Linked DNA regions of Lepisosteus oculatus. The main gene of each other region encodes a partner of the protein of the gene in region 2 in a complex. Links are inferred from orthologs where the notes say so. Each region holds a gene or a part of one and is shown on either strand. Other genes may lie near its edges.

Region 1 (7,542 bases), on a different chromosome or scaffold from region 2:
GAGGGTGTTCCCAGGGAGCTTACAGGACCGATTAAACATAACTGAAAATAGTCACAAAGCAAAGGAGCCATTCAACCCTGCCCATTTGGTTGTTAGTAGCTAATTGATCTGAGCATCTCATTCAGGCATTTCTTTAAAAAAAACCCACAGGATATCAAATTCAGCATCATGGCTGAGGAGCTCGTTCCACACCCCTACCACCCTTTGTGTAAAGCGATGCCTCCCGTGCTCAGTTTTGAATGCGCCGTTTCCACTGCATGTGTCCCCTGGGTTGTGTTGCGCTGTTCTGGCTCAAGAAACGCAGACGGAGACAGACGGAGAAAGGAAAAGGAATGCCGTGTGAAGTCTGCCCCCCCCCCGTGCACGCCCAGGAAGAGCGGGTTCTGAGCTGGCGGGGGAGCGGGCAGCAGGGCAGCGGTCCGTTCGTCTCTCCTCACCTCATTAAAACCAGAAATGAGGCCCGTCTGACGATGACCCCCCACCACCCCAAGAGCAGTTGCAAATAAATGACAAAAGAACTTTGTATGAGAAAAACAACCCCGGGCAGAGCTGACAGGAGAGACTCTGAGGAAGAGGCGGGGGGTCTGTCCTTGCACAGGCGGAACGGGCCCAGGACAGAGCGCTCAGTGGCTCTCTCCCTGCGGATGCAGCCAACTGAATACATGGGTCCACGTGTAAGATGCTTTGGATAAAGGCATCAGCGAAAGAAATGAATAACGGTACGAAAAAAATGCAAATATGAATAATACAAGCATTCTCCCGTCACATCTTGTTCCCATCCGGTTTTAGAGTTCTTGGGTGCTCAATCACACAGCTGTCCCTCTGTCCCATCTCCAGCCCCCCAGTCCGGAGGGCTGCGGCGGGGGAGGTGGCGGCAGGTATCAGCCTGTTCGCTCCTACAGCAGCACTTTCTCTCCTGCACGTCAGACCCACACACACACCTCCTGTTGATTTCAGCACTTTGCGGGGAAAATTACAGAGGTGGAAACGCGGAGAGACCGTTCCGGGCCGCGTCTTTCCCAGAGACACCGAACCCTTCCCAGGCACAGGGATCCCCACGAGAATGAACCCCGTCTGTTCTCGAGCCGTCAGCAGATCCCCGACCAGACAGAGCAGGTGGGATCTCCCATTTTTTACATTTACAGTCACCCCCCAGCGATACAGTTCACAATACTGGAGCCACAGGGAGGGGAAATAGGGGAGGGGAGAGAGAGAGGGAATATATCGGAAATTCCTTTTGAAGCAAAACAAAGGCGAGGGTGTAATTAGCGTGTGGTTTTTGCACCCAATTAAACAACCGTGCTGCATACTCCTCGTGCGTCGTCTTCACTAGCCCGCGCACAGCAGACATGTTGTCATGCAATCACCCGAGTGGCGTGTGGACAGTGGCACCTACGGCACCTTCTCCGCGGCGAACCCATTGGCTTCGGGGCTGAACTACAAGGCCCCCCAGCACAGCGCATCATTAGTCACACAGCACCTCCAATCCGCCCCGACAAACAATTTTACTGCAGTAAAGCTCTTTAATTACATAATTGAAAATCGACAGGATCTATATACCATTTAAGAAGCTGGCTGGATCACCTGGGGGAGACACGGATTAGATAACTTCACATTAAAGGGCTGACTCCTCATATTAAACAATGATAGAAGGCTATGACGTATTGCAGTAGACGGTCTGTGGGATAGTTTTATATCCTGGAAGACTTCCTAATTCTCGCCCCACTCAATCCAGCCTTCGCGCGAGTGCAGTGCTCCCCCTGGCGGACAGCACGGATAAACACGTTCAAATTAGGGTTGAGTTCAAACTTCCCCTAATTGCGGTTTCTTTAGCCCAGAAAAAAAGATTACTGGCGGGGGTGGCCTATTCTACCCATCTAATTTTGTCTAAAGTACTTTTGAACAATGATAATATCGCTTGGAATGAAAAGGCGACGCAGACAAGCCGGAGTCTAGTACCCAGACGACCCGACAGGTTGGTTTGAACGGTCATTTTCTCTTGTTCAGAATTTAATTGCAGTTAAAATCAAGTTTCCCATATACAAAAAACACCATCCTCTTCTTAAATAAAGCATCAGAAATCACATCGAAACTTGCAAAGAAATGTAAAACATATTACATAGATATTGTTTTTTGCTTTTATGTTGGTTTTCTACTGATTTGGTAGTCACATGTTTGAGATTATTGACAAAAACAGGGTCCGCTGTTACTACCGCTGAAGACGGTCAGAATTTTCGCAGGAGGCGAAATCTGTTGTGATTCAGATCAATCTCTTGCCGTAAGGGAAACTTGCGTCACACGGGCGCAGCCATGACAGGCTTGTCATTACGGCACAACTCCAGGGCGCGTTTCTTGTTCTCTACCCGAATTCCTGCAGCGTCGCTCCGTATTGGCGTGAGGGAGGAGAAATGGGTGGGGTTTAGTCAGACGGTCGTCTGTGATTGGATACAGCCCGAGGATGGACAGGTGACGGAGAGCGAGGCTGGTGTCCTGATAAGGAATCTGTGCCAAACTTCCTCAATCCTCCCGAACATCCTTCTGGAATGAAAATATAAACCGGAAATTAGACTGGACAACTCCTGACGCATATTGCCTTACAAACAAGGTTTAAAAAATTACATTTAATCTTGTTCATAGGCTTTATCTTGTAACACTTTCTAAGGTCATACATGATCAAGATAATTTATGACGTGTGTTCGGTTGGAAAAGGCTGGAAAAGACATTCTGACACATTTATTTGTCATCCGCATATATACAAAGGTGTTTTGGATATACTTGCAAAACTTCATCTTTAAGAATTTCACCGTGAATGTTTAATTTAAGGAGTTTGGTATTATGGCATGATTTGCCAGATGTACTCTGGAAAAAGGAACATTTTCTTATAAATAATCTGTTAGTTATACTGGGTAGATACGCAAAACACAATAGTCCAGTTCTGTTCCCTACTTTAATGATTCTAAGATTGAACTGCAACATTACTTAAAATCCATTAGCAACCTTACAAATAACAAGGCAAAAAACGCCGATTCGATTATGTAAAGTTTTAATTTATTGTGTTCAGTTTTGTAATTACCTACGGATCGCAGTGTTTTTTTGTGTGTGTGTTTTGTTTTGTTCAGTTGTCTCTTTGTATTATTTTATGATCAATAAAAGTTTGGAAATAAAAGAGACCAACTCTCAGGAAGACTGGAAGTATCGTTAAGGATACTCCCCCACTTTCCTCTGGTAAGGGTTATAAAGCATGAATGCACTAACTTCCAGACCCAGAGACAGTTTCTTCCCGTAAACTATGAGATTACTAAACTCTGCCCCTACCACTGACTCACACTGGTGTGTGTTTTCACACTGCGTGTACTGACTAGTATTTACCTTGTGTGTTATTTAACCTTGTGGCTGGTGCTTCTACTGTTATGTGTATCTTTCGGCGTTTCCTTAATGTCTCTGCATTGGAGCATACATGCAAACATTGCACTCGTGCAGATGACCAAATAAACTGAACGGAACTGATCCACGCCACCTGTTGTGAGTGCGGACGAACTACCCCTGACGATGTTTTTGTCTTGAATTGTTATATGTACGCTTGCTTTTATTGTAATTTTTCTTATTGTTTATGCATGAATAAATAAAAAACTGCCGAACTCCACTCACTATACTGAGCTATCACACACGTAGAGCTGCAACTGGGTAACATAACAACTGTACGACATCAAATGGTGATTTTCTTATGTACAAAAATCCCAACAAAGGCAAAATCAAGTATTAATGGATAACGTGCTCAGTTTTAGGTGGCTTTTTAGTGATTAACCTATAAATGATTGTGATTTGTGCAATTTGTGTTATAAAGCTGGATTCTTCAGTCTGCATGAACGTGCACTGCGTGTGCAGAGTGCATCTTGTACTGTACAGCTTAGAAGTGCATTCTAAACCCGAGAGCAGGAGGCCCTCCTTTGCACAAAAAGGTGTTGGAGTCGGGAACAAGCTACACAACCACGGAGTTGAAGACGATACGGTTTTGTTTTTTCGAGAAACACCTGGATGAGATGAGATCCTTAGATCGATTTACAACTAACAGTAGATAGGACGAACGGTCTCCTCTTTAATACTCTTGTGCATTGCCGGCGCAGACTATTGCTTACGAATGTTACAATTTATTTTTAATTTCAAATATCAAATAAATTGTAACAAAAGAACACCGAACAGCTGGATGTGCCTGTTGATTTCTACATCTTAAAGATTCATTTTATTTGTATCTTAAAGCACAGCAAGAGAGTGCAGTGATCTCGGAGTCTGATGGAACTGAATTCTCCCACCCAGGTTCAGATATAGAGGTTGTGCTGGACACACCCACTCTCCAGCAAAACAAACCACTCAGTGTTAAAGGAACTCCAAAGCCACGCTGCTTCCCAAGTTCTGCTAATTGGGAGACGGGTCCTACGAAATCACACCCAAGATTGTCTATGCAACTGAGGGGAAAGGAATGGGGCGTGTTGCTACAGGAACTGGGGTAGGAAAAACACACTGCCGGGAGGGCGTCGCGTTGTTAGACGTCATACACGAGTTCCGGCCAAGATGGCGGATGTGCTGTGTTACGCTAAACGAAGTAGTTCATTTGAGTATTAAAACTATTCCCTCTCGACTACAAAGATTTGTTTTACAGGTTACACTGCTAAAGGCTGGGTTTGTATCTCTGAGGAGTAGCGCTTTCTCATTGAACACGAGAGTCCGCTGACTGCTATGGCGACGGCGATGGAGACAGGTTCGTACGGGTCTGTTTACTTGCGCCAGCTGAAAGTAGTGCGGTCGGGGGTATTGATTTATCTGTTGTTGTGAAAGTGGAGTGCACATCTCGTCTTTATTTGTATGCAATTTATGTCTGATATACTAAAAGGGCGTACGTCAGCGCGTTGAGGTGGATGGGGAGTGCTTCAGTATTGAATCCGTGGTTCCTGTCCCTTGGCGTGTTTGTAATGCTGTCTCTTCTTCGCCGACAGAGGAGCAGGCGAGAAACCGATTCCAGTCGGAGCTGGAGTTCGTGCAGTGTCTCGCTAACCCCAACTACCTGAACTGTGAGTCGCTCTTTCACCCTCTTAATAATAATAATAATTCCTTACGCTTATATAGCACTTTTCTGGACACTCCACTCAAACCAATTACAGGCAATGGGGATCCCCTCCACCACCACCAGCGTGCAGCCCCACCTGGATGGTGCACCAGTCCTCTCCCCACACACCAGCTCTCAGTGGGGAGGAGAGCAGAGTGATGAAGCCAGTTCAGAGATGGGGGTTATTTGGAGGCCATGACTAGTAAAGACCAGGCTGAAATTTGACCAGGACACCCCTACACATTTTAGATAGATACTTTATTGTACTCTATCTGTCAGCAGCCATATCACCCTGCAACTCACAACTGGCAGCCCACTGAAGCTAAGCAAGTGTGAGGCTGGGAATTTCTGGGAAATTGCAGAAATTTTAAAGAAAAGATTTTAAATTTTTAAAGAAAAGGGATTTCTGGGATTTTTAATGACCACAGGGAGTCAGGACCTTGGTTTTACGTCTCATCCGAAGGACGGCGCCTGTTTACAGTATAGTGTCCCTGTCGCTATACTGGGGCATTAGGACTCACACAGACCGCAGGGTGAGCGCCCCCTGCTGGCCCCACGAACACCTCGTCCAGCAGCAACCTTAGTTTTTCCCAGGAGGTCTCCCATCCAGGTACTGGCCAGGCTCACACCTGCTGAGCTCCAGTGGGGTGACAGCTGGGAGCTTCAGGGTTATTTGGCTTAAATATCATCTTAAACCTGGACTGAGCCCTGGGGGTCTGAAAAATAAACCACGGCAGCTTCTGCTCTTCTGCCTGTCTCTCATTTGCTGCAATGGAGTAACTGTTTTTAATTAGTGCTCAATTTAAACTTGCGGTACGTTATTAATTAAAATATGACCACGGACCTGGGTTCCGAGATGGAGGTCTGGGTTCTGTTCCACCCGAGCTCTCGGCTGCACAGCGGGTCTGATTCACCTCTCAACATTAACGCTTGTCTCTAGCCCAAGAGGGGTTTTATAGATAACTTTTCCTTTAGTGCATTTGAGTCATTGACAGTAAAAGAAAATAGGAACCGCGCGAGAAGGCAGTGTGATCTGACGGCTCTGTCTTGTGGTCCCAGTCCTGGCTCAGAGAGGCTACCTGCGAGAGAAGCCCTTTGTGAACTACCTGAAGTACCTGCTGTACTGGAAGGACCCGGAATACGCCAAGTACCTGAAGTGAGTGTCTGTGTCTGGCTGTGTTCAGAGGCTGTTTGGTCTCTCAACTCTATTACAAAGGAACAAGTAATAGGTTTATTCCATGCTGAAAAGGGAAGAAAGAAAACACAACGTTTCGGCTGTGGAGCCTTCTTGGCTGACACCCGAAGAAGGCTCCACAGCCGAAACGTTGTGTTTTCTTTCTTCTCAATTCAGCATGGAATAAACCTATTACTTGTTCCTTGGCAGCCTACGCATGCTGGGACCGCAGTCTCTGCATGACCAGGCTGTCTGTATTCTGTACTTGTCAGTCTGTGCCCCTCCCTCTCAGATCGGTTGATCAGATTATCCTCAGTGTAGTTACAGATCTGGCTCAGAATCTGCCCCTTAGTAAGGCAGAGTTAACACTTTAAAGTATTCTAACAGCCTGGAAGACATGAGAAATTCCAGTGCAATACTGTGGGAAGAGCAGTGGGATATTGTAGATCCTTCCTTCAGAGTTCTGGTGTTACCCACAGGTATAAACCCCAGGCCCTTCCTGTAGTCTTCGGTTAGAGTTCATTGTGTTTTCATTTTGAGGAGATCATTATTAAGTATGGGCTTGTGAAAGCAAAAGTATGGCTAGATTCTAAGTCTGTAAGTTATGGCTTTAAAATATTGTGATCTGATTGTTAAACCACTGTCTTGTGAACATGTTTAATTCTTAAGGAATAATGACATTCAAACCGAAAATACATTCTGCATGGGGATGTGAAAAAGTCAGGCACAAAGAGAGGCGCAGTCTGGCGGGCCGAGGCCCAGCCCCCTGCCTGTGGGTGATGGAAGTCAGGGGGGAAACGAACCGAAGGGCAGCTGCAGAGGTGGAGATGGGGTGGAGGAGGGATGCTAAAAGAGAAGCAGGGAAGTAATGGGCTTGCTGGGGTTTTCGGGACACAAGGAATACAAGTTAGGGCAGCAGAGATGAAGGGGGATCTGAGGGCTGTCCCTCCTCCTGAACGCTCGTTAAAAGCTGCCTTAGTGCCCCTGTGTGTGACCGTGCCCCTGTCTCCCGCTCCCTGCCCAGGTACCCCCAGAGCCTGCACATGCTGGAGCTGCTGCAGTACGAGCACTTCCGCAAGGAGCTGGTGAACGCTCAGTGCGCCAAGTTCATCGACGAGCAGCAGCTCCTGCACTGGCAGCACTACTCCCGCAAGCGCACGCGGCTGCAGCAGGCCCTGGCGGAGCAGCAGCAGCACGGCCACGCCGCGGCCAAGTGAGGCCCGCGGGCGGGGGGGGGGCCCTTGAACTGAGGAGACTCCGGGCGTCG
Region 2 (7,169 bases):
ATTCAATTCAATTCAAGGTGCTTTATTAGCATGACCGATAGGTACAATCAGTGTTGCCAAAGCAAATAAAAATAATAAAATTAACATAGAACAAAACAAAAAATAGAAGTAAAATAAAATCTACAGACATGTTACAGACATTTACAACAAAGACATATTATATAATATCGACATATACTGTAGGCGGCTGGAGCATTATTGGGAGACGGACTCACTGTTCCTCAGGCTGTGACAGGAGATCACATACTGGGCTGCCAGATCAACTGAGTTCCCTCCTCCCTCTCCCAGTAGGATTGGGACCTGTTGTGGTTTTGGCAGGTGTGGGAACTCTGGGATTAGATTTCTGAATTTCGGGAAGAATGTTTCTCTAATCCCAGAGTATCTGTCACAGTGCAGTAGGAAGTGCACCTCTGTCTCTATTTCTCCCTGCTGGCAGTGGGAGCACAGCCTGTCCTCTCTGGGCAGCCAGGTCTGCCTGTGTCGCCCAGTTTCTATGGCCAGGTTGTGGTCACTGAGCCTGTACTTCGTCAGGGTCTGTTTCTGTTTGTTATTTTTTATTTTGGTCAAATATTCAGCTAGTGTGTATTGTCTGTTTAAGGTTCTGTAGCATTCCAGTTTATGTTGTGTTTGTGTGTGTGTGTCCCAGTGTGTGAGATATTGCTGTTTGATCTGTGCTGTGATGTGGTTGAGTCTGGGTTGTGGTGCTCTAGCAGTGCTGTCCTGAGGCTGGTTAGTGTTGGTGTGGCTCAGGTCGGTGAGCCTCAGGACCAGCTGGCTCAGGGGGCTCTGTTTTGGGCTCAGCTCTTGGCTCAGCAGGGCTTTGTGGTGGTAGGAATTTTGGTCACTGTTTTTTAGGTGTAGCCAATACTTTAATATTCTTTTCTGTATGTTTATCAATAGTGGGTACTGGCCTAATTCGGCCCTGCACCCGTTGTTAGGAGTTTTTCTCTGCACACGGAGGATGATTCTAGAGAGAGAGTTATCTCTCTCTCTCTCAATTCAATTCAATTTCAATTCAAGGTGCTTTATTAGCATGACCAATAGGTACAATCAGTGTTGCCAAAGCAAATAAAAATAATACAATAATAAAATCTCTCTCTCTCTGCGGGAATGAAGATAACCTCCAGGATCACGAAGCCGTTCTGGAGTCGGATGATCTGTGAATCGATTCAGCCTTTCCAGCAGCGACGATACGAGTTAGCAACCATAACGACAGAAACTAAAACCCACCCCCTTCTCTAATCAAAAGTGTTATCAATTTTAAAAAAAAATCACCATCATGAAGTCCGGGGGAATAAAAACTCGAGTTTTGAATCAAGTGCATTTATGAAGACGTGAAAACTGCTTGGAATTAAGTTAGACTTTGTACTATCAACGTTATTTTTTTCCCCAATGCAATTCCCTTGGCTACTTAAATACAAAACAGTTACTACTCTGTGAAAACTTTACCTTGCCTTGGATAAAGACGTTAGTAAACTAAAAATATGTATGTGTTTCGTCCTATATATGGGAAGACCTTTGTTTTTAGTAATTCAACATACGTTTCAGAACAGCTTTTAATCACCTCTCAAAGGTTTACAAATTAACAGCAACCCCGATTAATGAAGAACTGGTTTAGTTCTAGAGCGAAACAGTAAAAAAATCAATTGGAAGAAACACCGTAGATACGTCTGGTTTTCAAGGAGACAATTCAGATCGAGTCTTGCTCTCCCTGAAGTTAGGAATGGCGTTCTTCCTTGACTCGGGTCTGCCCTGTACTCCACGTCTTGCATCTTGTACACCAGTGACAACCAATTTCTTCCAAGAATGATTTATCTTTTATCACTGCGTCTGATTGATCTAATTTGAATGAGAGCTTTCTAAAAAGGTAAATATTTATAATCCATACTTACAAGAATGGCATATCACCCTACAACTCACAACTGGCAGCCTACTGAAGCTCAGCAGGTGTGAGCCTGGCCAGTACCTGGATGGGAGACTCCTGGGAGAAATTAAGGTTGCTGCTGGAAGAGGTGTTAGTGGGGCCAGCAGGGGGCGCTCACTCTGCGGTCCATGTGGGTCCTAATGCCCCAGTATAGTGACTGGGACACTATACAGTAAACAGGCGCCATCCTTCGGATGAGATGTAAAACCAAGGTCCTGACTTCCTGTGGTCATTAAAAATCCCAGGGTGTTTCTTGAAAAGAGTAGGGGTGTAACCCCGGCGTCCTGGCCAAATTTCCCATTGGCCCTTCCCAATCATAGCCTCCTAATAATCCCCCTCTCTGAACTGGCTTCATTACTCTGCTCTCCTCCCCACTGAGAGCTGATGTGTGGTGAGCGTTCTGGCGCACTATGGCTGCCGTCGCATCATCCAGGTGGGGATGCACATTGGCGGCGGTGGTGGAGGGGAGTCCCCATTACCTGTAAAGCACTTTGAGTGGAGTGTCCAGAAAAAGCACTATATAAGTGTAAGCAATTATTATTATTATTACAAGCATACAGACAGGACAAAGGTGAGAGATTAAATAGCACTGGCATTCGTCAACTATGGCTCTGAGATTTTCCTTCTGGTGTATTCTGCACTCATGTGTAATTGTGAAACTAGTGGAGTACCACAGGGATCTGCACTAGGATAATTACTCTTCCTATCCTATATGTATCTCAATGACCTACATTGTGGTGTAGCTAGTAAAACGGTTTGTAGTAAGGTTTGTTAGATGATATCAAATTAGGAAGATGAGCAAATCCTGTACAAGCACCTAAAAAAGAAAGAGATAAAATACAAGACCAGACAAACACCTGGCAGATGATGTTTAATGTTGGCAAGCGCAGAGTTTCTTCTGGCAAAATACCTAAGCTAAGAATACAAAATGGGAAACACAGAGAAAGAAGACACGGCATATTAAAAAGACTTACGAGTTTACGCTGACACCTCATTTATATCTTCTGTGATAAAGTAATTAAACATGTAAGCAAAATGTTAGAATAAATATTTATGATATTAAAATTAAAACAAGATGTGTTGTGTTGAATTTGCATGATGCACTAGTAAGCCTTAAATGGAATATTGTGTATAATTCTGCTCAGCACATTATATTAAGGTTGTGCTGCTCTGGCATCACTGCAGCCAGGAGCAGTCAGATACATCCCAGGGCTTCAGGGACTGTCATGCACTGACAGCCTGTTTAATCATGAACAGAGGAGACTACAATGGGACTTAATGCAAGTGTCCAGCATCCCCACAGACATCTTCAATATCTGATAAATCCAAATCCAATCCATCTAATGAATTGGTTTTCAACAAATTACTGTGGCAGAAAGAGAGCTCCTCACTGATGAGCTGTTTTCTTTGAAGCTTGGTCTTATAGTCAATGATCCAATGAAACCCCCCCAAAATTCTTGTGAGATTGGTGTGTGCAAGCAGTAGTCTACATCTGTTGTTGTGAATAAAGGGCCTGTTTTGTGCTCTTAAATGCCAAATTCTCTGATTCTCTGATTCTTTTTATTTCATTAAGAAAGATTCTGAATCTGGATTGCTCATTGGCTAGAGGGAGCTCTGTCCTAAAAGACATATTCAGAAGTGTTTCTGTGCCGGTCACTCATCTCCCTTGCTTGGTTATTTCCAAATGCCCAAGTAGTGCTCACTATACTTCAGCTATTGCCAATCCCTATGTATTGAGCCATAGTTTATATTTCTTATTATAAAAAAGCCTTGTCAGGAACAGGTTAATCACATTGAACACAGTGAAACGAGTCCTAGTTACGTGTGGTTTGTGGGGGACGTTGCAATCTATTGTAAATTAACCCCCTCCTGCACTAGTATTCTTGTATATTAATATGTATTTCATTATTGCCTCTAGAGACACGTATTTACTGTATGTGTACAAATAAGGTAAATGCGGGTAATACATACAGAGGATTTCCAGCCATAAACAAACCCTAGACCCAGCTTTTAAAAAACAAACAAACAAACAAACAAACAAACAAACAAACAAACAACAACACATAAAAAATGAAAAACAATCAGGTTTATCGTATTTAACCCCGGACGATGATCGACCCCTTGTTGTTCCCTGGTTATAAAGACATCTCTCCACTAGGTGTCACCACTGATTTTTAGTGACGACTTTTCTGTCTTGTCCGGTCTCTCTAGATTTGTTGTCTGTGTGAACATGCGCACTATGAAAGTTACTCTATCATGGCGGCTTCCGATAGATCAACTAAAGATCGGTTATTGTCTGTTTTAGACGATTTGGAGGTGTTATCCAGGTACGCTCGCTGAGAAATACAGTATTTACGCCAGAAAGACTTTACCCTGTGGACAGTAAAGTGGAACAGAAAAGGTCTGAAAGGATTTCGGGGACTCGGATGTTGGCCTGTGTAGGCTATCACAGAGCAACTGATTTTACCTGAGCTTCAATGCAGTTTGACAAACTAGACACTTTGCGTGTTAAAGGTTATGAAATGTTATATTTATTTGTCACGTTTTGTGGAAAAAAAACAACAAGAAGAAATTCTTATAAAAAGTGATATTTACATTTACTGTATAGTATCTGTATTTCTTTGTTAAGTTGCCTCGGTTATGTGCAATAGTTGTTACGATCTGCTTATGTTAACTGTATATATGAACTGCAGGGAACTGATTGAGATGCTGGCGTTGTCGAGGAATCAGAAACTGCCCCAGCCTGGAGAAGAGACTCAGGTATAACTACGTTTTCGTCTCGAGTAAACTCCTTTGGAAGGTGATCTTATTTTGTTTCAACAGCACATCATTCACTTTCAAACGAATTGTTGTAATAAAACAAAAAGCGTGCCTGCGTAAACAGCTTACATTTTAGGAGGAACAAATACTCGGATCCCTACCAATCACAGAGCCTGTCTCAGTGGAGCCGGGCTAACTTATTAAAAAACACATTTACACTACATTGAATATCTGTCAAATTATTCCAGTGGGTGGTTACACGCATATTCATAGGTTTATTCCATGCTGAAAAGAGAAGAGAGAAAACACATCTGTATGCTTGTTTAACGATGCTGACTGGTCCCTGCCGAGACCTTACAGACAGAGGTGCAGTTGTACCAAAATGGATGCATCCAGTACTTGTTTTCCATTATTTTAATTTTAGCCTAGGCTTTCTTCGAGCGAGGAGGACCTTAGGGAGCTGGTCCCTGACATACAAAAAGGTTTAGGAACAGGGATTTAAAATATACATGCTCCATGTGTGGACATAGACCCTCTTGGGGGGCCCACCTTGTTTCTGGGTAACGAGACGACTTTAGTCAAGCCGCTTCTGAGAAAGAACTGTTCGTCTCCCAGTGGAAATCCCGGCTCGGCAGTGGAGCGTGTTTAAGAGGGCGTGCTCTTGTGCAGATCCTGGAACTGCTGGTGCAGAGGGACACTGAGTTCCAGGAGCTGATGAGAGTGGCTCAGGAGCAAGGTCAGGTCCACCTGGAGATGCAGCTCCTGGAGAAAGAGGTGGAGAAGAGAGACAGCGATATCCAGCAGCTGCAGAAACAGCTGAAAGAAGCCGAGCACATACTGGTAAGCAGGGTGACTAAAACAGAGACATTTGTATTGCTATCGGACCCCTCTGCTAGGAATTTTGGCTTTGAACTGGTTTTCTTGCAATATGTATCTAGTCAACTGCTTCTTCATAGTCAAAAACAGTTTATTTAGATTACAGATATTTCTAATAGTAGCGCTGGGGCTGCATTTTTCTTTCCTCACTAATCTTGACAACAGTGCACTTGGTGAAATGTTGAGGTTTTGTTGTGAAGAAAAGTGAGAATGTAAAAACAAAGGAACAGGTAATGGGTTTTAATCCCTGCTGAAAAGAAAAGAAAAAAGAAAGGAAACAACGTTTTGGCTGTGGAGCCTTCTTCAGGTGTGAGAAAGACAGGGCAGACAGCAAAGATTAAATGGCACAGGAGAACAAAAGCTCGGAGAGGGGAGGAGGAGGCAGAGAGGCCACTCAGGAAGTGCAAAGCGGAGAGGGGTGAAGAGCTGCCTGAGAATAGAGAAGATTACACAAGAATAAGTCAGTCATTGAGAGAAGGGGAAGGTGTGAACCTAGTTTCAGGATGAGTTTCGTTTCTGTAGTCTTTCTGCTGTGGGAGTTGAGAAACCCTTCTTTGAGAAAAGAGACCGAGAGATCAGTGTGATCATGGCCGTCTGAGGCGAAATAATAAAAAAAACTATGGGCTTGGAGAAATCTTTCATCTTCACAGCCCTAACATGTTATCTGAAGCGGTCTCCTAGTCTCCTTCCGGTTTCCCCAACGTAGATAGCTGGGCCTTTTTTGCAGGAGATACAGTATAGGATGTTATCTGGGTGATCTGGAATTGACCTGAGGTGCCCTGAATGAGCGTGTTGTAGAAACAATGCCATTTTGGATAAAGTTTCCAAAAACTTCTGCAGGGAGTTTCTAGTATATAATAACACGGACTATGTAGTTGTAGTCAACTAGGTGTAGTCAAAGTATTCAAGTTTTTCCAGTCATGTGTTTAAAATAATATAGTAAGATTTATTCATTTATTCTTTCTTTTTAGGCAACTGCTGTATACCAAGCAAAGGAGAAACTGAAGTCCATAGAAAAAGCAAGAAAAGGTCAAGATTATTTTTATTTCAAAATATTGATAGGTCTTTCAGTAAGTTTCATTAATAATTTCTCAAGTTAATCAAGCATAGAAAAAATCATGAGCATGATGCACGTAAAAGAGCTGCTTTTCAAAAATGTTTCTTTTTTTTTTTTGCTGAAGATACTTTACATGGTCCTGTAGGTAAAGCACTGGTAGGAACAACCGTTCTGGGTCAGAATTTCCAAACCGATCCCTTCAAGTAGCCAGTGTGCGGATGGTACATACTGACGTAGAATGTGCTTTAATGGTGAATGTCTTTGTTTCAGGAAGCATCTCCTCCGAAGAAATTATTAAATATGCTCACAGGATCAGTGCCAGCAATGCAGTATGTGCTCCCCTCAACTGGGTGCCAGGTAAGGCTGGGTACTCTGGAGAACTTGGGTTTGGGGCTTCCCTTCCGACTGGAGCTGGGGACAGAGTCCCAGCAGTGCAGATTTTTAATTGCTTGACAGTCTGGCAAGTTAATTAATAATTAAAATTGGTTCAAAGTCCCATACAAATCTTAAATTTATGAAATCTCCAGTTTTGAAGAGGGCTGTTTTTACAGT
Region 3 (7,951 bases), on a different chromosome or scaffold from region 2:
ACACCAGCCGACCCCGACCCCTGGATCAGTTCGTCACCTCTGCCCATTCCTCCTTCCCCGATAGCAAACCCACTCTCGCCCGGAGAAGGCTAACATCGAGCGGTTCTTTTCCAGTCCAGGCACCCAGATTTTACCTGGACCTCACTGGGAAGAGATGCAGAGCTATAGAAGGTAAAGGGAGTCTGCCAGTGCTGGGCTGTCCCCTCCTTCACAGCGTGTGGTGTGACTAACGGACTGCATTTCCTTGGAGTCTGAATACCTCCTGTACAGCTCTGTAGAATTCCAGAGATATAAACATCTTTTTCAAAACTCTTTAACTATCATAAGCTTGGAAAGAAGGAATTCTGAGATGGCAGATGAAGGAATTCACACAGGTGCACTCTGCTTGACCCACCACGCCCTGCCAGGGCCCGCTTCTGGGCACTGTTCTGTGCAATGCCAGCTGTGTGGTAACTTGTACCGCTGCCCTGATCAGCTCCACACAATCAGCCCTCCCCCACACCCCAATCCCCTCACCTTTCAGGGCTCTCTGCAGCGTCTCCAGGCAGGTGAGCAGGAGCTGGTGTCCCCCAGCATTCAACACATTGCGCTTCTCCTGGGTGGCGGGAGAAAGAGAGATTGAAGGCCTATTAAAATGCACACAATACCCCTGTAATACACACCCCCTGACTGCACTAGCATGACCTTCGCCCTTCTGTACCAAGTCCTCCCAACATTTCGGGCTGACCCCCCCAAGAGCAGCGGGTCCTGAGCCCTCTATCTCCCCCACACTGCTCTCCCCATCCTGCCCCATCCCTCTTCTCTCTCCCTGCTCCTGCTCTCACAATTTTCTCTTATTTGATCTGAATTCTAAGATACAACTTTTGCTTTTTCAACGTCTAGTTTATATCCAGATATACAACCATATTTCTCCAGGAGGGCCTCAAAAAGAAACTGGCTAACCACAATCTAATAACAGTAATAACTGTTCAAACTGTAATATATATAATATAATTATACTAATACTCGTCCAGACTAACCAAAATTGCTCTTATCTTTTGAGCACTGGTGTTTTGTAATGTGAAGAGAATGTCTAATGTTGTCAAGAGTTTGTCTATCCTGAATAAATCCCTTTAGATCTAAATTCATGAACAGAGAGAATATTTGATCCAATCTTCAGTACATGATTGATGCGACAGTCCACATTGAGCAGTGAGCTCTGGGGGAAAGACACACATCTAGCCTGGCCTTTCTCTTCTTTGGAGATTGACTTGAAATCATGGTTTCCTCCCAGGAAGGGGGCAGGTCTGCTCCGGTGCCCTCTCTCTGCCCCCACTCCCCCCCGCATGTCCTGGTGCCTTTATGAGCTCCACCCTCCTCTCCCTCACTCACCATAGCCTGCCGCACCACCTTGCTGGTCTCCTGCCATGGCCGGGAGGCGCAGTGTTTGGCATGAAGCCTCTCCAGTAGGGCACCGACTCTGCTCTGCTTCTCTGCCTCTGAAGGGCGTAGAGGGCACAGGGTTAGGAAGACACACAGAGCACTCTCATAGGGAACAGGGCAACACACACACACAGAGCACTCTCATAGGGAACAGGGCAACACACACACACAGAGCACTCTCATAGGGAACAGGGCAACACACACACACACACACACACACACACACACACACACACAGAGCACTCTCACAGGGAACAGGGCAACACACAGAAAGAGCACTCTCACAGGGAACAGAGCAACACACACACAGAGCACTCTCACAGGGAACAGGGCAACACACACACAGAGCACTCTCACAGGGAACAGAGCAACACACAGACAGAGCACTCTCACAGGGAACAGGGCAACACAAACACAGAGCACTCTCACAGGGAACAGGGCAACACACACACAGAGAACTCTCACAGGGAACAGGGCAACACACACACAGAGCACTCCCACAGGGAACAGGGCAACACACACACAGAGCACTCCCACAGGGAAAAGGCAACACACGCGCACACACACACAGAGCACTCTCCCAGGGAACAGGGCAACACACAGAGCACTCTCCCAGGGAACAGGGCAACACACGCACACACAGAGCACTCTCACAGGGAAAAGGCAACACACGCACACACAGAGCACTCCCACAGGGAAAAGGGCAACACACACACAGAGCACTCCCACAGGAAACAGGGCAACACACACACAGAGCACTCCCACAGGAAACAGGGCAACACACACCGCTAGGCATTTGGTACACAAGGCTACACAAAACTGACAAACTTATCTCAGAGGAAGAACAACAGGTATACTACATACAGCTGTAAAAGCCGCGGCAACCCACTGGCACGGACCCCAAAACTCCCTGCTCCGCATGCAGGGCGATTTACAGCGTTATGGAAGTGCAGATCAAAGAGCTTTCAGGTAGGGTTTCAGGACCACCTCAGCACGATGTGACACTGTTATGATTAAGGGTATGTCTCAGAGGAGCGATCAGCCAAGATATGCGTAGATCCAAATGGAAAGCAAACACGCCTGACATCAAAATGAAATCAAAAACTCATAAAGGGGGAGGAGATCGTCTTATTTATTTTTTTGCAATTTCAATAATTCAATGACTCTTTTCTTTGAAAACGAAAAAAGGCGAAAAGGTATATAAAGGTGATTTTCACTGGCTCCGGTCCAACCCCTGGCGCTCCATTCATAATTTCTAAATAATATTCTCAAGATCTCAACGCAATACAGTAACAGATCAGCGAGAACGCGATACTGTAGCTCTGCCGATCTGCTGTCGACCCCCGATTTCCCCCGTGAGCACGTCATTACCTGTCCCCTCCTCAGGTCTGGGACGATCCCCGATCGTAGGGGGCCCAACGGTCGGTGCCCCGGGCCCGAGTTCTCTCGCTGGGCTACAACCCGATATAACAACCCCAGAAACCGCCGCCATTTTCAATATAAAAATCTTCCGTCGCGCAGGGTAGAGTTTCCGACAAGACTGCCGGGGGCGGGGGGGCGCGGGGTTGTGGCGTCATCAGGAGGCGACTCGGACCGAGCAAACGAGGGTGGAGGTGCTGTAACTGCGGATCAATCGTTTTTCTGCTTTGAAGGACTTTTCTTCAAGAAGCCCCCGGCGACGATAAGGACGTGGCAGATTTTATAAATAAAATCTAATCTGTGTTGAAAGCCATTGCAGATGCTGCTGCTGTTAGTTCTAAAATAATAAAGGCGGAGCTGCAGATCCAAAGATATACCGTGCGTGTGCTATCCGATGCAGTCTGGTTTCTTACTGGGGATCCGGCCGGGCATCCCCCAACAACCTCGAGAAACGTGGCTGAAACCTGTCTCCGGTCCGAAGTAGTTTCAACTTTTCATTTGTTCTTCAGGTGTGTTGGTTGTGTAGAATACAACGTACTAGGAAACGTTACGTGCTTGGTCTTCTGAGCGTTACAAGCGCCAAGAAGTTCTGCAGAGAGTTTTGTTCAAAGAGTAATGATTTACCTATAGAACAGGAAGAATTAAGTGACAAGAGCACAACGGATAATGCATCAATATATATAATATTGCGTAATAAATATGTAATGAAAGTACCGTACAATCTAAGTTCAGCTGACTTTTATCGGCGTTTGCGTATTTAAAAAAACGCCTCTCTCTGGTACCTTCTTAATTTAAAAGCACAAAGTGTTTATGGATTGCGTAATTGATTATTTATATGTAATAAACATTTGTGCTGTGCGTTCCATCAGTTACGGACGTCTAAAAGCAAATAGTGTTTTACTAGTAACGTGGTTTTGTGTTGTGGCAGACGTTACGTATACCCATTGATAGCCTACGTAATTTATAAAACGATTTCGAGCACAAGGAGGTTCTGCTGTCCGTTTAAAGATTAACACGTGAGCTGGTTACATCTGTGCATGGTTTGTTATAAGGGCGAACAAGTTCCCGTTTAAAAACTTGCACCTCAGTGCATTTGAACTTTTCACAACCTGTGGAGTTTCTCCGGTCTCTTCGTGACGCGCCACCTAGAGGTTAATTGGTGGCACTGCAGCCCGTGAGAGGATAAGGGCGGAGCGTCGCTCTGGAGAGGCTGTTGCCCGGTGACGACGAAGATTGACAGCAAGTGAGACTTCCGGCTTCGGCTTGGGGGAGAGAGAGCGAGGACAGAAGCTCAACCTGCTAGAAGGAGCCACAATGGCGTCTGTCCTCTCGTCTTAGCAACAGGGGCAGTGGGTGTTCTAAATCCGCAAACATCGCCCTCAATACAGGCCTGTTAGACTCTCAAGGCCGTTCAAAATAAACTAGAACATCTGCTGCACACGAATATACTGTCATTTCTGACCAATATCAAATATAAAGAGATTAAAAGATTGTCTATATAAAACCGAACATGTAAACAGTACCAACCGGTTCAAGTTTTCATTTTCAGTTTTGTGAAACAATATCGCCCATTCATCATGGATTATGCCTGTTTCCGAACTCCAAGACCGTAAACTGAAGGAATCAAGGCACCTTCCCTGAAGCCTGCTACAGGGCGAGGGGGATAACCAAAAGAGGTGTTGTTTTTTTTCTTTTTGTTTTTACAAAAGAAAAAATAACAGCACAAGTAAAACTGAGAAACGAGGAGAGAGACAGCACGATTGTAACGACTTCATTTAAACCAAACCTCTGCTTGATTTAATCAGCTATGAAACTACACGCTCATCCGCCTATTATGTCTATTTTTCGTTTTGTTTCTTCGTAAAAAAAAAAAAATCTTTCCTTTGAAGGAAAACCAAAACGCCGGACCCAAGCCGCGCTGACCTAGCCGGAATGAACTCGGATTAAGCGTTCGGGACGGAGAACACGATCTGAATTTTTGTTTTTATTGAATCTTTTTTTTTTTCCTGGTGCTTTTTTAGGTACTATTCGCCCTTTAATGCATCGCCTCGGCTGCAGAGGCCCGCATTTGGGAGAAGCGCCGCTGCTAGCGTGAGGGATGCCCGGTTCAGACAGACAACATGGGTCGACCAGGAGGAAGCCGGATCCCAGCGCCAGCGTCTCACTGCCGCCCGGCAGCAACAGCGGGGCCTTCCAGCACCTGCTCCCGCCGCACTCCAGCGCCCAGGCGGGCTGCGTGACGGGGAAGGACGGGAAGCTCATCGCGTCGTCTTCCTCCTCCTCCTCCTCCTCCAAGCGCCGGCGGCACAAGTCCTCCAAGCACGGCCGCGAGTCCTCCTCCTCCTCCTCCTCGGCGCTGGGCCAGGGCCAGGGCCCGGCCGCTGCGTTCGCCACCCTGGGCCCGGCGGCGGCGGCTGCGGCGCCTCCAGCCGTGAGCGCCATCAAGCCGCTGGTGGAGTATGACGACATCAGCTCCGACTCCGACACCTTCTCGGACCCGCCGGCGGCGAGGTCGGCGGTGGACCGGCGAGGCGGGGAGCGCCTGGACGGCGGCTCGGACTACGGTAAAGGGGGCGGGGGCAGCGGCGGGGTGTCCGGGGAGAGCCGGGGCCACAAGCACCGGCACCCCCGCAAGAAGTCCAAGGACCCTCACAAAGTGAAGGACTCGGGTGGTGGGGGGGGTGGAGGAGGAGGAGGAGGGGGGAGCTCGAAGAAGAAGAGCAGCCGGGACAGAGAGAAAGGGACGTCGGGGAAGAGCGGGAAGGAGAAGACATCTGCCTCCGCCTCGGCCCCCTTCAGCCCCGGCTCCACCAGGCTGGGTCTGCTGGAGGGGGAGGTGGGGGCCAAGCTGGCGTCGTCGCTGCCCTCCTCCGCGGCCCAGGCCCTGCTGGGGACCGGGACCAGCACGGCCTCCTCCTCCTCTTCCTCGCGGAGCAAGGACGGGGGCGGCGGCGGCGGCGGCGGCAGGTCGGGCAAGTCCCGCAAGGAGAAGCTACAGCGCCGCGGGGAGCGGGGGGAGTCCCGCGGCTCGTCCCAGAAGGACCGCCGCAAGTCCTCCAAGAGCTACAAGGCCAGCCCCAAGGGCAAGCCCTCGTCCCGGGGCGGCGCCGGCGGCGGGAGGAAGCAGGCGGCCGCCCCGCAGTCCCCCAGCCCCAAGCGGGGGGCCAACGACAGCCCCCCCGGCGGTGGGTACGGCCCGGACGGCGGAGAGGACGCCTACCACCACCATCACCACCACCACCGGCGGCGGGCCCCCCCGCCGCAGAGCCCCAGCCCCTACCGGGACTCGGGGCGCCGCAGCCGGCAGCGCTCCGACAGCCCCTACGGCAGCCGCCACCGCTCCTCCAGCTACGAGCGGGACAGCAGCCCCTACCCCAGCAGGAGGCGCTCTTCCGTCAGCCCCTACGGCAACCGCCGCTCCTCCAGCGCCAGCCCGGTGTCACGGTGAGTCCCGCGCCACGCTTCTGGGGGGTGAGGGTCACGGGTGACCCGAGAACTCAGGTTGGAATTTGTGGTGAAGAAGGGGGTGAGAGGCTCGGGTTGGATCCGACCCCCATTCTCTTGAGTCCTTCTCCGGCCTGCCAGGTCCAGTGCTCTGCCCCACAATGCAGGGCAGATTGACCCTAACTCTCCGGCCACCCGTCAACTCCAAGGGGAAGCTGCCATCAGGGCTGCCAGGTCCTCATAATATTTGGGAAAAGGGCTCCTTCCTACAGGAGAGCTGCTGATGATATTATTGGCGTGTCTTAAGTTCTCAAGAGGATGTAGAGTAGACCAAACGGATGTATATCAGTTTACTGACGTGAAATGAGTGTGTATACCGAGCTGATCATGTGTAAATCTAGGGTGTGTTGTCTACTTTCGTAGCTTCTGAAGGCTCAAAAGGGCCTTCAGAGCGTTCTGCGCACAGGAGCGCAAGGTTTCGGAAGGCCCTGTATGGGGCTGGGGGCAAAGTGTGGATTTGTAATCCTGGGCGCAATTTCTTCCTCATTTGCCCACAGCAGCTGTCTGTTTCCTGAGGTAGGCCAGAGCAACAGTCTTTCACTTTTCTTGTTTGGCTGTAAGTGAAAGCACCAGCACAGCGCTTCAGTAATTTCGGAGGCCGCAGTGTGCTGCACAGAGCTGGAAAATGCAAAACGGCAAGACCAGCGTTCTGCTCACCAAGTGTTGCAGTGTCAGTCCTCTTTCTCGTGTAAAAGTGTCGTGTGCTCGCTCAAGATGGCAGCAGGCCATCAGTGGTTGCATCTAGATTGTGTTTTTTTTCAGTTTTTCAAATTATGCTTTCAGCCCTTTCTCCATCTCGAAGCAGCCGGGAAAGGGTGCAAAAAGTCCTAAGAACTCTGACTAAAAGGCAGAGCTAATAACAAACTTGTAATATTGATGACTGGCATGCTGTAGTTCCCTTTGATCAGTGCCAGCAATCAAAACTGTGATAGTGTTATTCTCTGTAAGGGTCTAAACTTGGGGTAGTTTTGTTTTGAGTAAAGAGCTGCTTAGATCTGTTAAACAAAACTGCACATGTCATGGAAAGCATGCAAATGAGTCAGCTCAATTCATTTCTTCAAGCACTCGTGTTGAGGGCAGCCTGGTGGGGCAGTGGTGAGCATCACTGCCTTGCAAGTGCTGGGGCCCGGGGCTCAATTCCAGACCTGGGGTGCAGTCTGCATGGGGGGTGTGGGAGGGTATGTTCTCCCCTCTGGGGGCTGCAATTTCCTCCAACGGTCCAAAGACATACCGGTAGGTTAATTGGCTTCTGTAAAAAAAATGACCCTGGCGTGAGTTTGTGCATGTATGTTTGTGAATGTGTGCCCTGTGATGAAAGAGATGAACTGTGACTTAACAGTCCGCTGCTCCACATGCCTTAATGTCTTTTTCTCCAGTTTTCTGTTTTTGGCAGACGATGTGTATCAGTGGGGAGAAATGAGGAATAGCCCCAGCCTAACAGGGATGACTCTGTGCCCTGTAAGTTGGGGACCTGTAGAGTCTGTCTCCCTGCCCTGTTGCCCTTTGTTGCAAAATAAATTCCAGCTCCAAAGAGATGCTGGTTTAGGTCTGTGAGTCTCAAACTGAACCTTGAACAGAGAGCAGGCGGGGGATGGGTGTCCAGCTA
Region 4 (7,799 bases), on a different chromosome or scaffold from region 2:
GCACTGAGAGAGAGGGGTGTCAGCCTCTCCTGACACCTGAAACATCCCGGCCCTCATCCTGCAGCATCAGATCCCCTCAGACTGGTACCCTCTGGCGCTCAATGCGCTTGGCGGACCAGTCTCTTGGAAAGCTCAGACACCTGCCTCCTCCGGCATGCCATACAAGAGACGGATATCTGACCGCACAGGGAGGGCACACAGTATAATGGACAGCAGCCATATCACCCTGCAGCTTCCAGCTGGCAGCCCCCTGGAGCCCAGCAGTAGGGAGCCTGGTCAGTACCTGGAGGGGAGACTCCTGGGAAAGCTAAGGCTGCTGCTGGAAGAGGTGTTAGTGGGGCCAGCAGGGGGCGCTCACCCTGCAGTCTGTGTGGGTCCTCATGCCCCAGTATAGTGACGGGGACGCTAGATTGTAAACAGGCGCTGTCCTTCGGGTGAGATGTAAAACCGAGGTCCTGACTCTCTGTGGTCATTAAATGTCCCAGGGTGTTTCTTGAAAAGAGTAGGGGTGTTACCCAGTGTCCTGGCCAAATTTCCCCCTGGCCTTTACCCATCATGGCCTCCTAATAATCCCCATCTCTGAACTGGCTTCATCACTCTGCTCTCCCCCCCACTGAGAGCTGGTGTGTGGTGAGCAGACTGGTGGTGGTGGAGGGGATCCTCATTATCTATAAAGCGCTTTGAACCAAGTGTCCATAACAGCGCTGTTTAAGTGTCAGGAATCATTATTATCCAAAACTGGACAGATTGCTCCTGCCAGTCAGCAGATTTAATTGCAGCGCTTGTTCTTTCTCACACTGAAGTTGTCAAGATGTCTCTCCAGGGCTGGGAAGACGTTGTAATGCGGTTTCAAGGAAGCACGACGGGAAAGAAACATTTCCAAAATCAGGGGCTCTTCAGCCAGCAGGGGACGAGGCGTCCAGAACAGCACCGTGGGGTTTTCCACTGTGTAACCTCAATTTAAAAGGCAAAACTAGTGGATTTTACCCATGACAATAGTAATAAATAGGACATAATTACTCATCTGTAATACGCCTCTCTTCGCCTACATGTACTGAAATACTCCAGTTTTCTGCCATGACTGAGGGAGGATGCTGTGCACATGGTGACGTCCGGAGAGTCTCTCGGCCTGAACCGAGAGCAGAGAGACAGAGGAAAGGACAGGCAAGACAGCAAGAGTGATGTAACCCCAGCCACGTCTTACCAGGCAACTCAGGCAGGAAATTGCTGAGCTTCTCCTTCAACTTCTTCCCACAGAACTTGTTGTAGGCGTGCTCCAGGTTATAATGGGTGATCAGGTTAGTGTTCCCAGTCAGTTCATTCCCCACTGAAAGAAGGGCAAAAGATAATAGCTGTATTAGAAACTACAGGAACACTGCCTGACTGCACACTACAGTACATGAACACTGCACTGAGAGAGAGGGGTTAATACAGTCCAGACACACTGACTGGACACTACAGGACATTAACACTGCACTGAGAGAGAGGGGTTAATACAGTCCAGACACACTGACTGGACACTACAGTACATTAACACTGCACTGAGAGAGAGGGGTTAATACAGTCCAGACACACTGACTGGACACTACAGGACATTAACACTGCACTGAGAGAGAGGGGTTAATACAGTCCAGACCCACTGACTGGACACTACAGGACATTAACACTGCACTGAGAGAGAGGGGTTAATACAGTCCAGACCCACTGACTGGACACTACAGGACATTAACACTGCACTGAGAGAGAGGGGTTAATACAGTCCAGACCCACTGACTGGACACTACAGGACATTAACACTGCACTGAGAGAGATGGGTTAATACAGTACAGACACACTGACTGGACACTACAGGACATTAACACTGCACTGAGAGAGAGGGGTTAATACAGTCCAGACACACTGACTGGACACTACAGGACATGAACACTGCACTGAGAGAGAGGGGTTAATACAGTCCAGACACACTGACTGGACACTACAGGACATTAACACTGCACTGAGAGAGAGGGGTTAATACAGTCCAGACACACTGACTGGACACTACAGGACATGAACACTGCACTGAGAGAGAGGGGTTAATACAGTCCAGACACACTGACTGGACACTACAGGACATTAACACTGCACTGAGAGAGAGGGGTCAATACAGTCCAGACACACTGACTGGACACTACAGGACATTAACACTGCACTGAGAGAGAGGGGTTAATACAGTCCAGACACACTGACTGGACACTCCAGGACATTAACACTGCACTGAGAGAGAGGGGTTAATACAGTCCAGACACACTGACTGGACACTCCAGTACATTAACACTGCACTGAGAGAGAGGGGTTAATACAGTGCAGACACACTGACTGAACACTATAGTACATTAACAGTGCACTGAGAGAGGGATTAATACACTAACTTACAGGACAATAGCACACAAAGTTACAACTGAAACGGAACAGCAACGAGACGTATTTAGTTTCAAGCACAGTTCGGACACTATATTCATCCTCTCAAGCTCTGCACTGCTGTGCCCTGTACAATACATCTCTGAATACTTTTACCGACTTAAAAAAGAAACTATTGAATGATACTGAATATTTTACTTCCTCGTCTATAACGCAAAGTCTTATCGAAGATGACTATGTGGGCGAGCGCAGTCTGTTTACCTGGAAGTTCCCGAAGTAAATAAAAAGGCTCATTCATCGCTGCGGGCTTCCGAAGAGGAGGCCCCTCATCCCCGAGCTGTGGTGGCATCTGTACCGCCATGGACACCTGATTCTGGGGTGGCGGCCCCGGCTGTTTACCCGGCCCGTAGCCCAGCGTCGAGGAGCCGGGGGGACCTTGAGAGTCGCTTTGTCCAAACAAAGAGAAAATTTCCGTCATCGATGCAGAAAAATGTTAATTTTAAGAAATAAAAAAAATAAATAAATCTTGGCAATTTTAACACAAATACTACCAAACCACCGCACCGTGCTTCGCGTTGTTTTGCTCTGAATCCGTGAGCTTCCGTACGACAAAGCAAACTGGGCGCTACCGTCTTTCTTCATATATAGGAGACTCAAAATGAAGCAGTGAACCGCTGTTGCATGATTCAGATCAAATTTGCACACCAGACGCAATTACAATGGTGCAGACGTTTAGTGACGCATTCTCGTTTTTATTTAAATACTGTATAATTAATTAGCATTTAGGAATCACCGGTCTAAATTCAGTGTCACATCAGTGAGCAGGCGAATATTATTAATGGCGTTGTTCTTCCACTTAAGTACCTGTATTCTTCACTATTATCCATTATGGAGAAATGTAATATTCTTAAACAGCTGAGAGTAGTCCATCTGCCCCGTCTATCCTGTTTGGCACTAGGTGGACAACTGATCCAAGGATCTCATCCAGCTGTTTCTTAACTCCCACCCCCCTTTGTGTAAAGAAGAAGCTCCCGTCCTGATTGGAGGATCTCCTCCAGTGCTGTCACTGCACTGGCTTCAACAACAACGCGGCTGGGGTGCTTGCTCCACACTCCCACCACCCTTTGTGTAAAGGAGCGTCTCCTCTCCTAACTGGAGGATTACATCCAGCTGTGTCTTGCAAGACGTTACTGTATCGGCTTCAACAGCTAGACTGTTGTTTGACACTCTCACCACTTTGTGGAAAGGGTCACAGGTGTCACACAAACAGAATTGATTTGTGAAGGTTTTGTCCTACTGCCCACCCACCCATCTCCTGTCCTGCTGGTCACTCAGCTGTTCCTTCTCCTCGTTCTCCTCCATTGCTGCCCGAACCGCAGTGCTCCCTCAGGGACTCAGCCACTTTCCCTTTCTCTGTCTCAGCACAGAGCTGCGGTCATGTCTGAATCGCCTTTTGTTTTTTACAGTAATTTCTTTGGTATTTTTGTGTATAACACTTCTTATTTGGTATTTTGACAGTAGGTGTCAAACCATGTATTTTGACTATGTGTCAAAACACCAGCACCTGCGGCTCCCAGCTGGCAGCCCCCTGGAGCCCCCTGGAGCTCAGCAGGTGTGAGCCTGGTCAGTACCTGGAGGGGAGACTCCTGGGAAACCTAAGGTTGCTGCTGGAAGAGGTGTTAGTGGGGCCAGCAGGGGGCGCTCACCCTGCAGTCTGTGTGGGTTCTAATGCCCCAGTATAATGGCGGGGTCACTACACTGTAAAAAGGCGGTGTCCTTCAGGTCCTGACTCTCTGTGGTCATCACAAAAACTCAAAAAGAGTAGGGGTGTTACCCCGGTGTCCTGGCCAGATTTCCCCTTGGCCTTTATCAGTCATGGCCTCCTTATAATCCCCATCTCTGAACTGGCTTCATCACTCTGCTCTCCTCCACACTGAGAGCTGGTGTGTGTGAGCAGACTGGAGCATCATCTAGGTGGGGCTGCACACTGGTGCTGGTAGGGATCCTCATTACCCGTAAAGAGCTCTGAGTGGAGTGTCCAGAAAAGTGCTATATAATAACAATAATCATACATTATTATTATAATGCGCATTATTATATAGCGCTTTTCTGGACACTAATAATACTCGTATATAAGTGTATAGAATTGTTTATTTAGGTTTAAGCTTTTGTGTTCATTTGACTGTTTATGTTAACAGCCGACACCAAATTTAGAGGCGTACAGTTTCTCATCTTTACGGTACAATAAAAGGCTAATTTTACGTATCAATAAAGCTCATTCAAAAACTTCCCTTTTACAAGGGCCTTACAGTGTATGTCACAATGCCCGATCAACCGAAAAAGTCCTATCCCTTTGCAAAGAAGAGTGACAGCTGTAATATCCAATAATATCCAAGATGTCTCCACAGCTAACCAATCCGATTACGCAAGAGGCGTGGCTTTATGTCTGTTGTTTGTCCGCAGTGACCTCTCTTCACTTCCCCTTTAAATCTTCCCTGCGACCGCAGACTGTTATTATTTGTCGGCGGACAGACCTCTGTGTGCATGTTCGTCTGCACCAGCAATCCGCCGCATATATATAGTGGCACTCTTGTTTGAGAGTTATAAAAATGGCGTTACTTACTCCCCTCCTGGCGTTTCTGTATCACCTTCCCCGGGTGTACAAGTGGCTGCTCAAGCCGTATTATGTGGCGTCAGTGTTTTTGTCGGTGATTTTCTTGCTGGTGCGAAAGACGCCGGGGATCTGTGAGCACTTGTCTACCACCAGAGAGGACGGCAACTCCTGCGATTTCGACTGGGTGAGTCCAGGGTTGTGATTTTAGAGCAGGCCGGTACCTCCGCGACTGACCGGCTGGTAGAGAGAGACACTCGCCAGTGAGCTCAGGTGTTGGTCATAGGGCAAGTGGGGAGACAGAGGGCGAGGGGACTGTTAGGACAGGGAGAGTGTTGGAGAGGACGAGGAGAACCAGGGCTGGGGACCCTGAACTAACTGGACCGGGTCTGTCCAGGGCCAGGGGTGGGAACCCTGTACCAACTGGACCGGGTCTCTCCAGGCCCAGTGCTCGGGACCCCTGTACTAACTGGACAGGATCTCTCCAGGCCCAGTGCTCGGGACCCCTGGACTAACTGGACAGGATCTCTCCAGGACCAGTGCTCGGGACCCCTGTACTAACTGGACAGGATCTCTCCAGGACCAGTGCTCGGGACCCCTGTACTAACTGGACAGGATCTCTCCAGGCCCAGTGCTCGGGACCCCTGGACTAACTGGACAGGATCTCTCCAGGACCAGTGCTCGGGACCCCTGTACTAACTGGACAGGATCTCTCAAGGCCCAGTGCTTGGGACCCCTGGACTAACTGGACAGGATCTCTCAAGGCCCAGTGCTCGGGACCCCTGGACTAACTGGACAGGATCTCTCAAGGCCCAGTGCTCGGGACCCCTGGACTAACTGGACAGGATCTCTCAAGGCCCAGGGCTGGAGACCCCTGTACTGTTTTGCACACAGCACTGGGGCAGCAGGCAGCTGGTGTGTCCGTTGGCCCTGATGTGTTTACTGTACACACAGGGGGAGAGGGGGCTGAGGGCGGCCACTGGCCTGGGGTGATGTAGGGTGAGGAGCTGCGGGAGGGTGCAGGTGGGGGTGGGAGGGAGTGTGGGGAGCAGTGGGAGAATGTGAGGTGCCGTGGGTGGGTGTGGGAGAGTGTGGGGAGCAGTGGGAGAATGTGAGGTGCCGTGGGTGAGTGTGGGGTGCTGTGGGAGAGTGTGCCGTGTGCCGTACCCCTCTGAGCAGTCTGTTGGGTGTTGGTTGTGTTGCGATTGGTAGTGGTAGCAATGGCTGCTGTGGGCTGGTGCGTGTCAGTGTGCTGTCCCTGTCGCCCTGACGTGCTGTGTGCTCTACCCCCAGAGGGAAGTGGAGATCCTCATGTTCCTCAGTGCCATCGTGATGATGAAGAACCGGAGAGCCAGTAAGACACTCCAGTCGCACAGGGGCGCTCGTCTCGGCTCCGGGCGCGTCCGGCTTTCTAGCAGCCTGAGCGCTCAGGCGCGCAGTGGGTCTGATTCTTTCACAAACTGCTGAAGTGTAACATGTGGAGCCTGGCTCTGAGGTGTTTGTAATGAACTGTCCCTTTAATGAAGTGTATTGTTTAAAAGCTGATTATTCAGCTTAAGGAACATCCTATCTGGTTGGTAGGAAAACCAGAAGGCATCAGGCCCTCAAGGAAGTGAGTCTGACACCCCTGTCCTGATGCATGCAAACCCCAAATAATGTACTGATGGCCAGTGGGCAACCGGTAGGTGGCGCCCTTCCCTCTAGACCAGAGTTTTCAAGCCAAGCCTCAGAATGGGGAACAGGAGCACTATGCTGTAGGACATGCTGTCATTCAGATGTTGACCCCAGTGTCCTGACTGAAAAGAGTAGGGGTGTTACCCCGGTGTCCTGACTGCTGGTCATTACAGACCCAGGACACTGTCAGTGAGAGTAGGGGCATTAACCCCAATGTCCTGACTACTGGTCTTTATACACATTTAGTGCAGAGGATGAGAAGTAAAACGGAGGTTCTGACTCTCTGTGGTCATTAAAAACCGCGGGGTGTTTCTTGAAAAGAGTAGGGGTGTTACCCCGGCGTCCTGGCCAGATTTTCCCCTGGCCCTTACTAGTCATGGCCTCCTAATAATTGTTTTGAATGCCTGTGTTCTTACATTTGGGCTGTGCACACACTTGAAATACACATTCATTCAGTGTCAGCAGGGGCATACACGTGGTATATAGTGTATAATGTGTGTAGGTATAATATGCTATACACTTGCAGTTAAACCTGTTAACTGTGTTTAAAACCCTTTCTCTTCTCCAGTCACTGTGGAGCAGCACGTGGGGAACATCTTCCTGTTCAGTAAGGTGGCCAACGTCATCCTGTTCTTCAGACTGGACATCAGGATGGGCTTGCTGTACCTCACTTTGTGCATAGGTCAGTCAGATAGCTACTGTAGGTACTGCCGGTTCTAATACTCTAGAGCGTCCCCTCACTCTGTACAGGCAGGGTGGGGGAACTGCAGTTCAATAATCCTTATTAAACTGGAGCAAGTCAGTGGACCTGTACGCTGTGAATAATCACTCCAGGAATTATTACTAAGTAATATATATGGCTTATGTTTTTTATGCTAAGAGACTTCTATTTGCCGCCATTTTACTGCTGTGTATCTTACTGGAGCAGTTCAGGTGAAGCACCTGGCTCAACAGCGTCTCACTTGGGATTCGAACCCTCAACCTTCCACTTCCGAGTTGATTATGCTGCTCACAGCGCCTACTATTATAGCATATACAGTATTGTGGTTGTTGGCATTAATCCAGCAAAGATGTTGATGATGGGAGACCTACCAACACTAACTCTGCTACATGT

The links. The genes of interacting proteins can lie anywhere in the genome.
Region 1: the proteins of med4 (region 2) and med31 are in contact, whole or in part, in a cryo-EM structure (PDB 8TRH), measured with the Homo sapiens proteins. The link is inferred for Lepisosteus oculatus from reciprocal best matches to the Homo sapiens genes MED4 and MED31. Residues at the interface, in NP_054885.1 of Homo sapiens: Glu147, Tyr151, Arg154, Ile155, Asn159, Ala160, Val161, Cys162, Ala163, Pro164, Trp167, Arg173, Arg174, Pro175, Tyr176, Pro177, Met182, Leu186; in NP_057144.1 of Homo sapiens: Gln19, Glu23, Gln26, Cys27, Ala29, Asn30, Pro31, Ala64, Lys65, Tyr66, Leu67, Lys68, Tyr69, Pro70, Gln71, Asp98, Ile102, Trp105, Gln106, Tyr108, Ser109.
Region 3: med4 (region 2) and med1 share a complex: the UniProt entries of both Homo sapiens proteins name them as parts of the mediator complex. The link is inferred for Lepisosteus oculatus from reciprocal best matches to the Homo sapiens genes MED4 and MED1.
Region 4: med4 (region 2) and med19b share a complex: the UniProt entries of both Homo sapiens proteins name them as parts of the mediator complex. The link is inferred for Lepisosteus oculatus from reciprocal best matches to the Homo sapiens genes MED4 and MED19.

Annotation. Positions count from the first base shown.
Region 1 is NC_090721.1:9,979,390-9,986,931, reverse strand, and holds the start of med31 (mediator of RNA polymerase II transcription subunit 31), read left to right. Parts: upstream 1-4,533; 5' UTR 4,534-4,734; coding exon 4,735-4,756; intron 4,757-4,991; coding exon 4,992-5,066; intron 5,067-6,160; coding exon 6,161-6,257; intron 6,258-7,299; coding exon 7,300-7,492; 3' UTR 7,493-7,542. UniProt on the Homo sapiens protein: Component of the Mediator complex, a coactivator involved in the regulated transcription of nearly all RNA polymerase II-dependent genes.
Region 2 is NC_090710.1:30,648,497-30,655,665, forward strand, and holds the start of med4 (mediator of RNA polymerase II transcription subunit 4), read left to right. Parts: upstream 1-4,155; 5' UTR 4,156-4,180; coding exon 4,181-4,251; intron 4,252-4,617; coding exon 4,618-4,684; intron 4,685-5,353; coding exon 5,354-5,524; intron 5,525-6,531; coding exon 6,532-6,589; intron 6,590-6,887; coding exon 6,888-6,974; intron 6,975-7,169. UniProt on the Homo sapiens protein: Component of the Mediator complex, a coactivator involved in the regulated transcription of nearly all RNA polymerase II-dependent genes.
Region 3 is NC_090723.1:5,850,699-5,858,649, reverse strand, and holds the start of med1 (mediator of RNA polymerase II transcription subunit 1), read right to left. Parts: upstream 3,010-7,951; 5' UTR 2,915-3,009; coding exon 2,794-2,914; intron 1,479-2,793; coding exon 1,372-1,478; intron 596-1,371; coding exon 517-595; intron 1-516. Other genes in the region: cdk12 (cyclin-dependent kinase 12), read left to right, coding at 4,940-6,285. UniProt on the Homo sapiens protein: Component of the Mediator complex, a coactivator involved in the regulated transcription of nearly all RNA polymerase II-dependent genes.
Region 4 is NC_090701.1:41,770,523-41,778,321, forward strand, and holds the start of med19b (mediator of RNA polymerase II transcription subunit 19-B), read right to left. Parts: upstream 3,010-7,799; 5' UTR 2,879-3,009; coding exon 2,662-2,878; intron 1,328-2,661; coding exon 1,205-1,327; intron 1-1,204. Other genes in the region: tmx2b (thioredoxin-related transmembrane protein 2-B), read left to right, coding at 5,010-5,198, 6,305-6,365, 7,254-7,367. UniProt on the Homo sapiens protein: Component of the Mediator complex, a coactivator involved in the regulated transcription of nearly all RNA polymerase II-dependent genes.